Oryza sativa Japonica Group: one gene and its partner. The protein of the gene in region 1 interacts with the protein of each later gene in a pairwise test. Links are inferred from orthologs where the notes say so. Each region holds a gene or a part of one and is shown on either strand. Other genes may lie near its edges.

What was found.
Region 2: the proteins of putative protein Brevis radix-like 3 (region 1) and protein PHYTOCHROME KINASE SUBSTRATE 4 interact in binary tests that used the Arabidopsis thaliana proteins (3 or more experiments, as listed by UniProt). The link is inferred for Oryza sativa Japonica Group from reciprocal best matches to the Arabidopsis thaliana genes BRX and PKS4.

The regions. Positions count from the first base shown.
Region 1 is NC_089038.1:30,808,897-30,813,183, forward strand, and holds the start of putative protein Brevis radix-like 3, read right to left. Parts: upstream 2,927-4,287; 5' UTR 2,520-2,926; intron 2,243-2,519; 5' UTR 2,095-2,242; intron 479-2,094; 5' UTR 370-478; coding exon 265-369; intron 1-264. UniProt on the Arabidopsis thaliana protein: Acts as a regulator of cell proliferation and elongation in the root and shoot. Regulates roots architecture and primary root protophloem differentiation.
Region 2 is NC_089035.1:9,006,467-9,010,483, reverse strand, and holds protein PHYTOCHROME KINASE SUBSTRATE 4, read right to left. Parts: upstream 2,604-4,017; 5' UTR 2,272-2,603; coding exon 694-2,271; 3' UTR 507-693; downstream 1-506. UniProt on the Arabidopsis thaliana protein: Modulates phytochrome-mediated control of hypocotyl growth orientation. Involved in PHYA and PHYB signaling. Acts as an inhibitor of asymmetric growth. Not involved in the control of leaf flattening.

The DNA of each region.
Region 1 (4,287 bases):
AAGCAGAGACAGAGCACTAGTGGTATACTACTGTACAGTCTCAGTGGTCGTCCATCTTGGCTGCCACCCCTGGTCTCCCCCTCGTCTATTAACTGCTGCTACTACTATCTCTTCCTCATACAGACAGAGCTAGTAGCATGTAGTAGTACACTCTATATACTGCAGTACTGATGGCAAAGTAGCAGGTGTAAATTCGATCCAGGAGTAGCATGTACGAGAAGAAGTTTAGATCAAGACGAAGAAGAAGAAGGGACAGACGGGTACCTGTGAGGTGAGGGACTTGACGGCATCTCTGCCGTGAGGCGTGGCCGCGCCACGGGACCCGTCCTCCCCGCCTTCCTTGGAGGAGCACGCGATGCATGCCAGCATCTTCTCTGACCCCCTCTCCCTATCTGCCTCCCTCTCCTCGATCGACGACGACGAGACGGATCAATCAGTAGTCAATCGCTCCCCCCACAATCTCACCTTGTGTATCGAACTGCAAAAGTGTGTGCATTAGCGTTACATATATAGTACTACCACAGTACGGCTATCTATCAGAATTGAAGCCGCTGTAACGAAAGATCAAGTTTGATCAGACATGCCGTCATGTAGACACTACAGCCCACGGCTACAGTTGCATGCATGCATGTGATAGAATGTCTATCCATGAGATGGTCAAACTTTGTCGTTGTTCGCATGGCAATAGTACACTTAGTACATGTATAGTACACATTTCCATGATAATTAAACGAGTGCGAGATTTCGTGTATCCACGCACACGTATGTACGACCAAAATAAATACACGCCGAAAGTACGTACTCCTATCAAGTATCAACAGTGACACTATCAGTCTAGTATCCTCTAGCCATAGCCACAATCTACAATGTACTGTAATAACGTAAAGCGGTTTCCAAGCCGGTGTGTGACGCCATTCTAGTACCACACACCATTTGGACCAGACGTGCCATGCCATCCTTGCATCTCACATGTAAGCACGCGAACACGACATCCGGTACACTATGCGAGCACAGAGCTATCCGGCCGGTCCGTGACCACGCACACGTGCGCATGCGTGTGCGTCGGAGGAGCTGTCCTTCCGGCTCGTTGAGCAACAGAGAGCAATGCAAGCATGCGTATGTACGAGAGATAGCTATAGCTAGGGACTCTGGTCTCTGGAGCTTCAATTCGCCACCGGCGTCAAAACGGGGCAAGCTGGCTGGCTAGCTGGTGCAGTGGAGCACTGGAGCCTGCAGCGACAAAAAAGTATAGCACCAGCATAACAAAGCAAGCAAGACCCATGCCAATGGCAGCATCACAGTCGTTCACAGCTACTCCTGCATGCATGGCATGCATTCGCAGGCTGCTCTAACACAGTGGAAGAAACGCTACGCGGGGCAAAGCAGATCGATCGACGGGCACAGGCACAGAGATTCTTTAATCGCCATGCCACATGACACACACACATATACTACTAGTAAATCAAAACTGAAAAGCAGGTTGTAGTAGTAAAATACGGTCAGCTACATTGCGGCAGGGAAGCTTCTGATGTTTACGCGCACATGGAAATTTATTAACCACCAGTGTGCTATGGCTAGCTAGCTCCGCCCGTTTGTGTATGTGTTGTGCACAGTGTTCATGCAGATGAGGCGCAGCTACCCACGCGAGGTAGGCAGGGGCGTATGGGGAAGACTCCAAACGACACCAACAGCAGTAGCTCGGTGGACGAGGCAGGGAGCCGCTCAGATGTGTATCAGCTACAGTCACTGCAGCTGGGGCCCCACGCCCTCCCCCAGATCAACGTACTGCCTGGACTTTATTTTTTTTTTCCTCCTGCTCCATCCCTACCGAGAAAAATATGGGCCCCGGCTAAAGCGACCGGCTATCGAGTGACTGCATTGTGGAGCCCGGTAGGGTTTTTGCTGATTATCTTTTGCGCTTTTTTAATAGAAACACGACGTGATAACCTTAAACACGGTATTGTGTGTGTTTTCTTTTGGCCGGTGGTAGTAATTTCTTTTGTACAGTAGTAGTATCAGCTAGTAATTAATTAATGTTGCTGTAGAGGGAGAGAGAAATGAGAGGCACAGTGAGAGTGATGAGATGATGCTTACAGGTAACTGACGGCCCCCAGATAGCTACGTTAGCCACAGCTCTCTCTCTCCTCCGAGTTTGCTCGCCGTGTAAACAGTGTGCGTACCCAAACCACCTACGCGCGCGCTGACCGGGTTGCTCCGCCTCCTCTTCCTCTCTCTCCGGCGCCTGAAATGATGCAGACAAAAATGTGCCAAAATAAATATGTATACGCCTAGAAGCGAGAGCGGGATGCAAGGAGAAACGGCCTTTTATTTTTGACACCAAGATAAACGGACTTTGACTTTCTGGTGAACAGAACAGGGTAAGAAACGGCATGCAAGACGAGAAAACAAAACATAGAAAAAGTGTAACTCAACACACACACACACAAAAAAAAAGCAAAGCAAAGATAAGACGAAGCATCAAGCAAGCTGGTTGCGTGCGTCGCCGTCACCACCATTACCTTCTCCTCCACGTCGCCGGTGAGCGAACGAGCGCAATTTGCAGCCCGCCGGTCGGCTTCACCTTCGCCGCCCTTTCGGTTTCGAGCTCTGCCTCTGAATCGACTCAGAAGCCTTTGGAGATAGCACAGAGAGAAAGGCCTCCCTTGTCTGGTCGAGGAGTGGATGCGGCTGCGTCAATGGCGCCAAACACAGCGGCGGCAAAGATATCAGAAGCTACGCAGCGACGCTGTCGCCGCACAGAAACAATCTGGGACTGAGTGGGAGATTCCTCTCGCAGTCGCAGGAGAGAAGAGCCACGAAGCGAGAGAGAGAGATCGAGGTGGGGAGGGAGAGAACACTGCGGGCGTCGCGCTGGGCCGTCGGATCCTTCCCCCATATACGACGAGAGGGCGCCGAGTGCACAGGCAGTGCAAGCCGTCTCGTTTCCGGCCCATATATAGTCCCTCCCCCACGGGACACGCGGCGGTCCCCGCGAGATCGCGGCCGTCCGATCCTGCGCGGCGTGTGGTCATCTCCCTGGTCCTGGGCTGGGCCCCACCTACGGTGATTCGCTGCGGGGCCCGCGAAGGCCCGGGCCCCGGCACGGACCGTGGCGATGACGAACGTGCTGCCGTGGCGCGATCAGGACCGTGCGATGTGATGCATATGCTGACGGGGCTTTGTCATGATCGAGGACCGTCCGATCTTGATGGCGCAAAGTACGTCAGCGTGTGCTTGCAAGCCCAATAGGCGAGTAGCCCATAGCGACTGACGGAGCGTGGGGCTCCTCACCGGGAGACCGCGCTGGTCCCCTTTTGCCGGTTCGGCCGGGGACCCTGGGTGAGACTCTAAGCTCCCAATTTGTGGAAGGTTCGCGAGACAGGAAACACACAAGACGCCGGCGATGTATACAGGTTCGGGCCGCTGAGAAGCGTAATACCCTACTCCTGTGTTTTGGAGGATCTGTGTATGAAGGAGCTACAAAGTATGAGCCAGCCTCTCTCTTGTTCTGGGTTCCCAATCTGGAAAAGTCCAATCATCCCCCCTCTAAGTGGGCAAGGTCCTCCTTTTATATCTTAAGGGGATACCACATGCACCATCTCCCCCTCTCTTTCTTCCAATTTGACTTCTCTTCATTAACAGACGGAGATTTGCATCGCCGCCGTCCGAATGACCTTCTGATGGGACGGCCCATACCTACCTCCACTTCCGCCGGAGGCAGGCGCGACGTGGGAAGATGGCTGTCTGCTGATGACTTGACCATTGTCAGACCGGTCACAAATCGGTCATTCTTGTCCACCACGTGTCAGTTTAACAATCTGCATGTTCGCCCTTCTTCATACAATATCTTGCCTGTAATGGTTAGGATGAAGCCTGGCATATATCTGACCGGAACCAACGTGCCATCTCCAGGAGCTAACACGCCGGCTCCAGCTAGGGACGAGTGCTTGGAGGCTCTCGTCCTGACGGGATGGGGCGAGGCGTGCGTCAGACCGCCTGTCGCCACCTAACCCATGATCTGACCGGTCTGTGACTGGTCACAGACCGGATAAACGAGCGTGCTGTACTGCGATACAGGCGGCGTGACGCGCTCGTCAAAACTGCAATAAATGTGGTTAGGTGAGCCCCGCCATGCTCACCTACCCCATATACGTGGCGCAAAACCCACAAGGGGTCGGGGCGCTTCGGCCCTCGGGGCCGAGACGGGAGCGGCCCGACCCCTTGGGGAGACAAAGAGAAGGGCAGCCGTATCACCCTCGGGCCCGCCCCCCCCCCCCCCCCGAGGGA
Region 2 (4,017 bases), on another chromosome or scaffold:
GAATTTGAATTCAAATATTTTTCATATATATTATTTCTATACATCTAAAGTTTATACACCTAAAGTTAAGTTTATAGACCTAAAGTTTATAGAACTAAAGTTTATATACCCGATTCAAATTTGAATTTGAATTATATCCGATTCAAATTTAAATTTGAATTCAAATATTTTCTATATACATCTAAAGTTTATACACCTAAAGTTTATAGATCCAATGTTTATAAGTCAAAAGTTTACATACCCGATTCAAATTCAAATTGAATTCAAATTTAAATTTTAATTCAAATTTGAATTTGAATTTGAATTTGAATTTGAATTCAAATTTTTTATATATAGTATTTCTATACATAAATTTTTCTAACTATTTGTTTTTTAAAATTTTTTTATGGTTTAATATGTTGTAGGAAGAGAAGAAGGAGAGGAGGAAGGGAAGAAGCGTATAGGGAGAGGCGGAGCGAACCCCCCCTCCCCCCCTCCCCTCTCTGTGAAGGGTCTGAAGGGATATGTACGTACGAAATCTGTATAGAGAAATTAAAAGTCTTGGTTTATTACAACACAAATGTGCATTCCTTACACCAACACATTTCTCACTCACAAATTTACACATCAAAACTAATTAAACCATAGCGCACGCCTTCGCGTTCTCCCGCTCGTTGAACGTATGTACGTCGCCGGTGCTCACCGGCGGCGAGTTCACGTCCGGACCGGCATGCGGACGCGGCCGGGGTGATACCGTGCCGCGCCGCCGCCGGTGGTCTTGACGTTCACCTCCGGCCGGACCATCCGGACGGGAGTTGGCCCGACGCTCACAGCCTTCTCGCACCGGCAGCTGCTCAAGAACCCGCCGCCTTTCTTGCGGGCGGCGCTGCGCGACATGGCGGCGGTGAAGCCCTCGTGGCCGCCGCCGCCAGCGGTGGCGGCGGAGTCAGGCGGCGGGACGAAGCTGAACTCCTCGACGCAGCAGGCGGACGCCGCGCTGGAGAAGTTGGCGACGCTGGCCGCGTCGAACGCGCCGCCCTCCGCCGTGGCCACGCTCCACACCACGCTCACCTCGCTCGGCGCGTACATGCACTCGCTCAGCGCCGGCTCGACGGCGGCGGCGGCCGCGGCCGCGGCGCCGTACGGAAGGTCTTCGTCGTCGTCGTCGTCCTCCCGCGAGTTGCGCCGGCTGCTGCGCCCGCGGCACGTGGTCGGGAACGACGACGACGCCGCGAAGCTCTCGAGGTCGAACAGGTCCGAGCTCGCGTCGCTCATTGCCTCCTCGTCGGTCGCCACCGCCGCCACCCCTGGGGCGCGCGCGAAGCCTGCGGCGAGGCCTCCTCCTCCTCCTCCGCGGCCGCCCACCGTCGCCAGGTGATCGGCCGGTGGGTCGGCGAGCACCGACTCCTCGTCTATGGGCCGGAACACCTCGAGCGACTCGCGCGGCGGCTCGTCGCCAACGGTGCTCACCACCTTCGCCGCGCCGACGGCCACCGGGAACGTGAAGCCGCCGGAGCTCACGACGCGGCGGCCAACAATGTCCGGCGCCGGGAAAGCGGCGAACGGCGCCGCGCCACCGCCGCCGCCGCCCCTGTTCGGCGCCGCCGCGAAGATACTGTTCGCGAGGGGAGGAGGAAACGTGCTGCTCCCCGGAGATATCTTCATCTTGACGGGCTCCTCCTCGCATGGCGGTGGCGGCGGCGGCGCATTCGCTTTAAAGATCGTGCTGTCGGCGACGACATGGCTGTTTTCAAACCTCGCGTGGGTTCTCGGCGTCGCCGGGCTCCTCGGCTCGGAGGCGACGTCGACGGTGACCGCCTTCCTGCCGGCGCAGGGGCAGTCACGAGAGAACAGCCCCCACCGCTGGCCGGAGCCGGGCTTCTTGCCGCGGTGAGCGCTTGCGGCGGCGGCGGCGGCGCCGCCGCCGCCATTGGCACCACCCATCTGGAGCTTAGCAGCAGCACCCGCCGACGCGGCGGACTGGGCGTGGCCGGAGAGCAGCCCGGAGCGGCTGGTCCAGCTCGCCTCCGATGAGCACGCCACGGTGCGTCCGCTCTGGCTGGCCGCATCCACGGCCACCTCCTGCCGCGGCTGCTCCTCGTCGCGGTACTCCTCCTTCTTGACGACGTCGTCTGCGTTGAAGTAGCGCTCGGCGGAGAAGATGTCGAGCTCGGCGCCACCGCCGCCGGCGACACCGCGTGGCAGGCGGCGGGGCCCATCGCCGTGATCACCGCCGGCGGCGGCGGCGGCGGAGAGGTAGACAGGTCGCGGCGCGACCCTGTACCTGTCCATGGAAGGAGACCACTTGTTGCAAACTCTTTTATCGCGTGTGAGTGAGTGAGAGGTGAGGTGAGGTGAGGTGAGGCGGGATGGAGGATTTGTAGGAGGAGGCGAGCGGGTGGAGCCACGGGAGCACAGGCTGTCGCGGAGGGCGACGTACGGCGACGGCGAGGCGAGCGGAGACGAAGGCTGGTCGAGCACTCGAGCACGCTTCGCGTCAGTGGGCAAGCGGGAGCGGCATGAGTGTGTCCGCGTCGCTCGCGCGATCTAATTCCTTATACTCCTTCCGTTTCATATTATCATACTTTTTTTTACATTGCTCATATTCATATGAATATTAATAAATTTAGATATAATATGGAACAGAGGAAGTATTAAAAAAGAGAACATTTTAAAAATATCATCGACAAGCGTATCAATCGAAGAAGAATCATTGACAAACCCATCTTTCCGATAATGATATTGTACAAGTGTCTTTGTGCTAGACATATCACTGCCGGTAGGTTTCCGTTAGCGGTACTTGTTAACCGCTATAAAAGATCATTTCACCCTAAGAATTGTTAAAAGCTAATTAAAATTTATGTTCAATTTGGGGAAGCACCCGTGGTGTGGTGGTGGAGTTGTGAGTGCATGACTTCACCCAATATGGTTTAAATCCTGGTGTCCACGAATATTACGCACATGTAGGTGGATTTTCAACCAGACTTTAGTGAGATTAGGGACGTGCCGCTGGTTTTCATTTCTTAAAGTACGTGTCATGTGTCTCAAAATTTTTTTATTAGCTTAGACTAGTTTGTACTCCCTCCGTCCCATAATATAAATGATTTTGAGTTTTTGCTTGTACTGTTTGACCACTCGTCTTATTAAAAAATTTGTGCAAATATAAAAAATGATAAGTTATGCTTAAAGTACTTTGGATAATAAAGTAAGTAAAAAAAAAATAATTTTAAAATTTTTTGAATAAAAGACGAGGGATAAAACAGTGCAAACAAAAACTTAAAATCCCTTATATTATGTGATGGAGGGAGCAGTGGATTGCTTTTTTATATTTTCTCTAAAAGAAATTGTGTGTGGTTGACGTCGCGCGAGCGAAGGAGTGCGGCGGGCGCGGTACAACGATGTACGTGAGTCCCCCGCGCGGGCGGACGACACCGGCGGCGGCCAATCGGTTTTCCTCCGTTGCGGTGCACTGGGCTCTGCGTTTACAGCGTTGCACTTCGGCCAGGACCGATCAGTCCAAGGCTAATGCGCCATACAACCTGCTATTATCACGTTGTGCTGCTGCAAATAATTAAAATATATATTATTTTTTTTTCAGTTTAGAAAACATCCTACGACAGATTTTTAATTTTTCAATTCAGACGAGCACATATGCTTACGAGTACACTCGCTTAACACATATTCCCTTCATACTCGTAAAGTAAGTCGTTTAGGATAATGTTTAAGTCAAACATTGAAAATATAAATCATGAATAACTCTCAAGTTGTTGAGTTTGAAAATATAAAAATTATATGAATGGATTTGTCTTAAAAATACTTTTATAAAAGTATACATATATCACTTTTCAATGAATATTTTTATAGAAACAAGAAGTCAAAGTTGTGTTTTGAAGACCGTGTCAATGTCCTAAACGACTTCCTTTGTGAGTATGGAGGGAGTACTACAAGAGATAAAGTCCAGTGACAATTTTGCTGACTTAACTAAAATCCAACCATAAGTATCCATGTGTAATATTTGTGGACGCAAGGATTCCAATC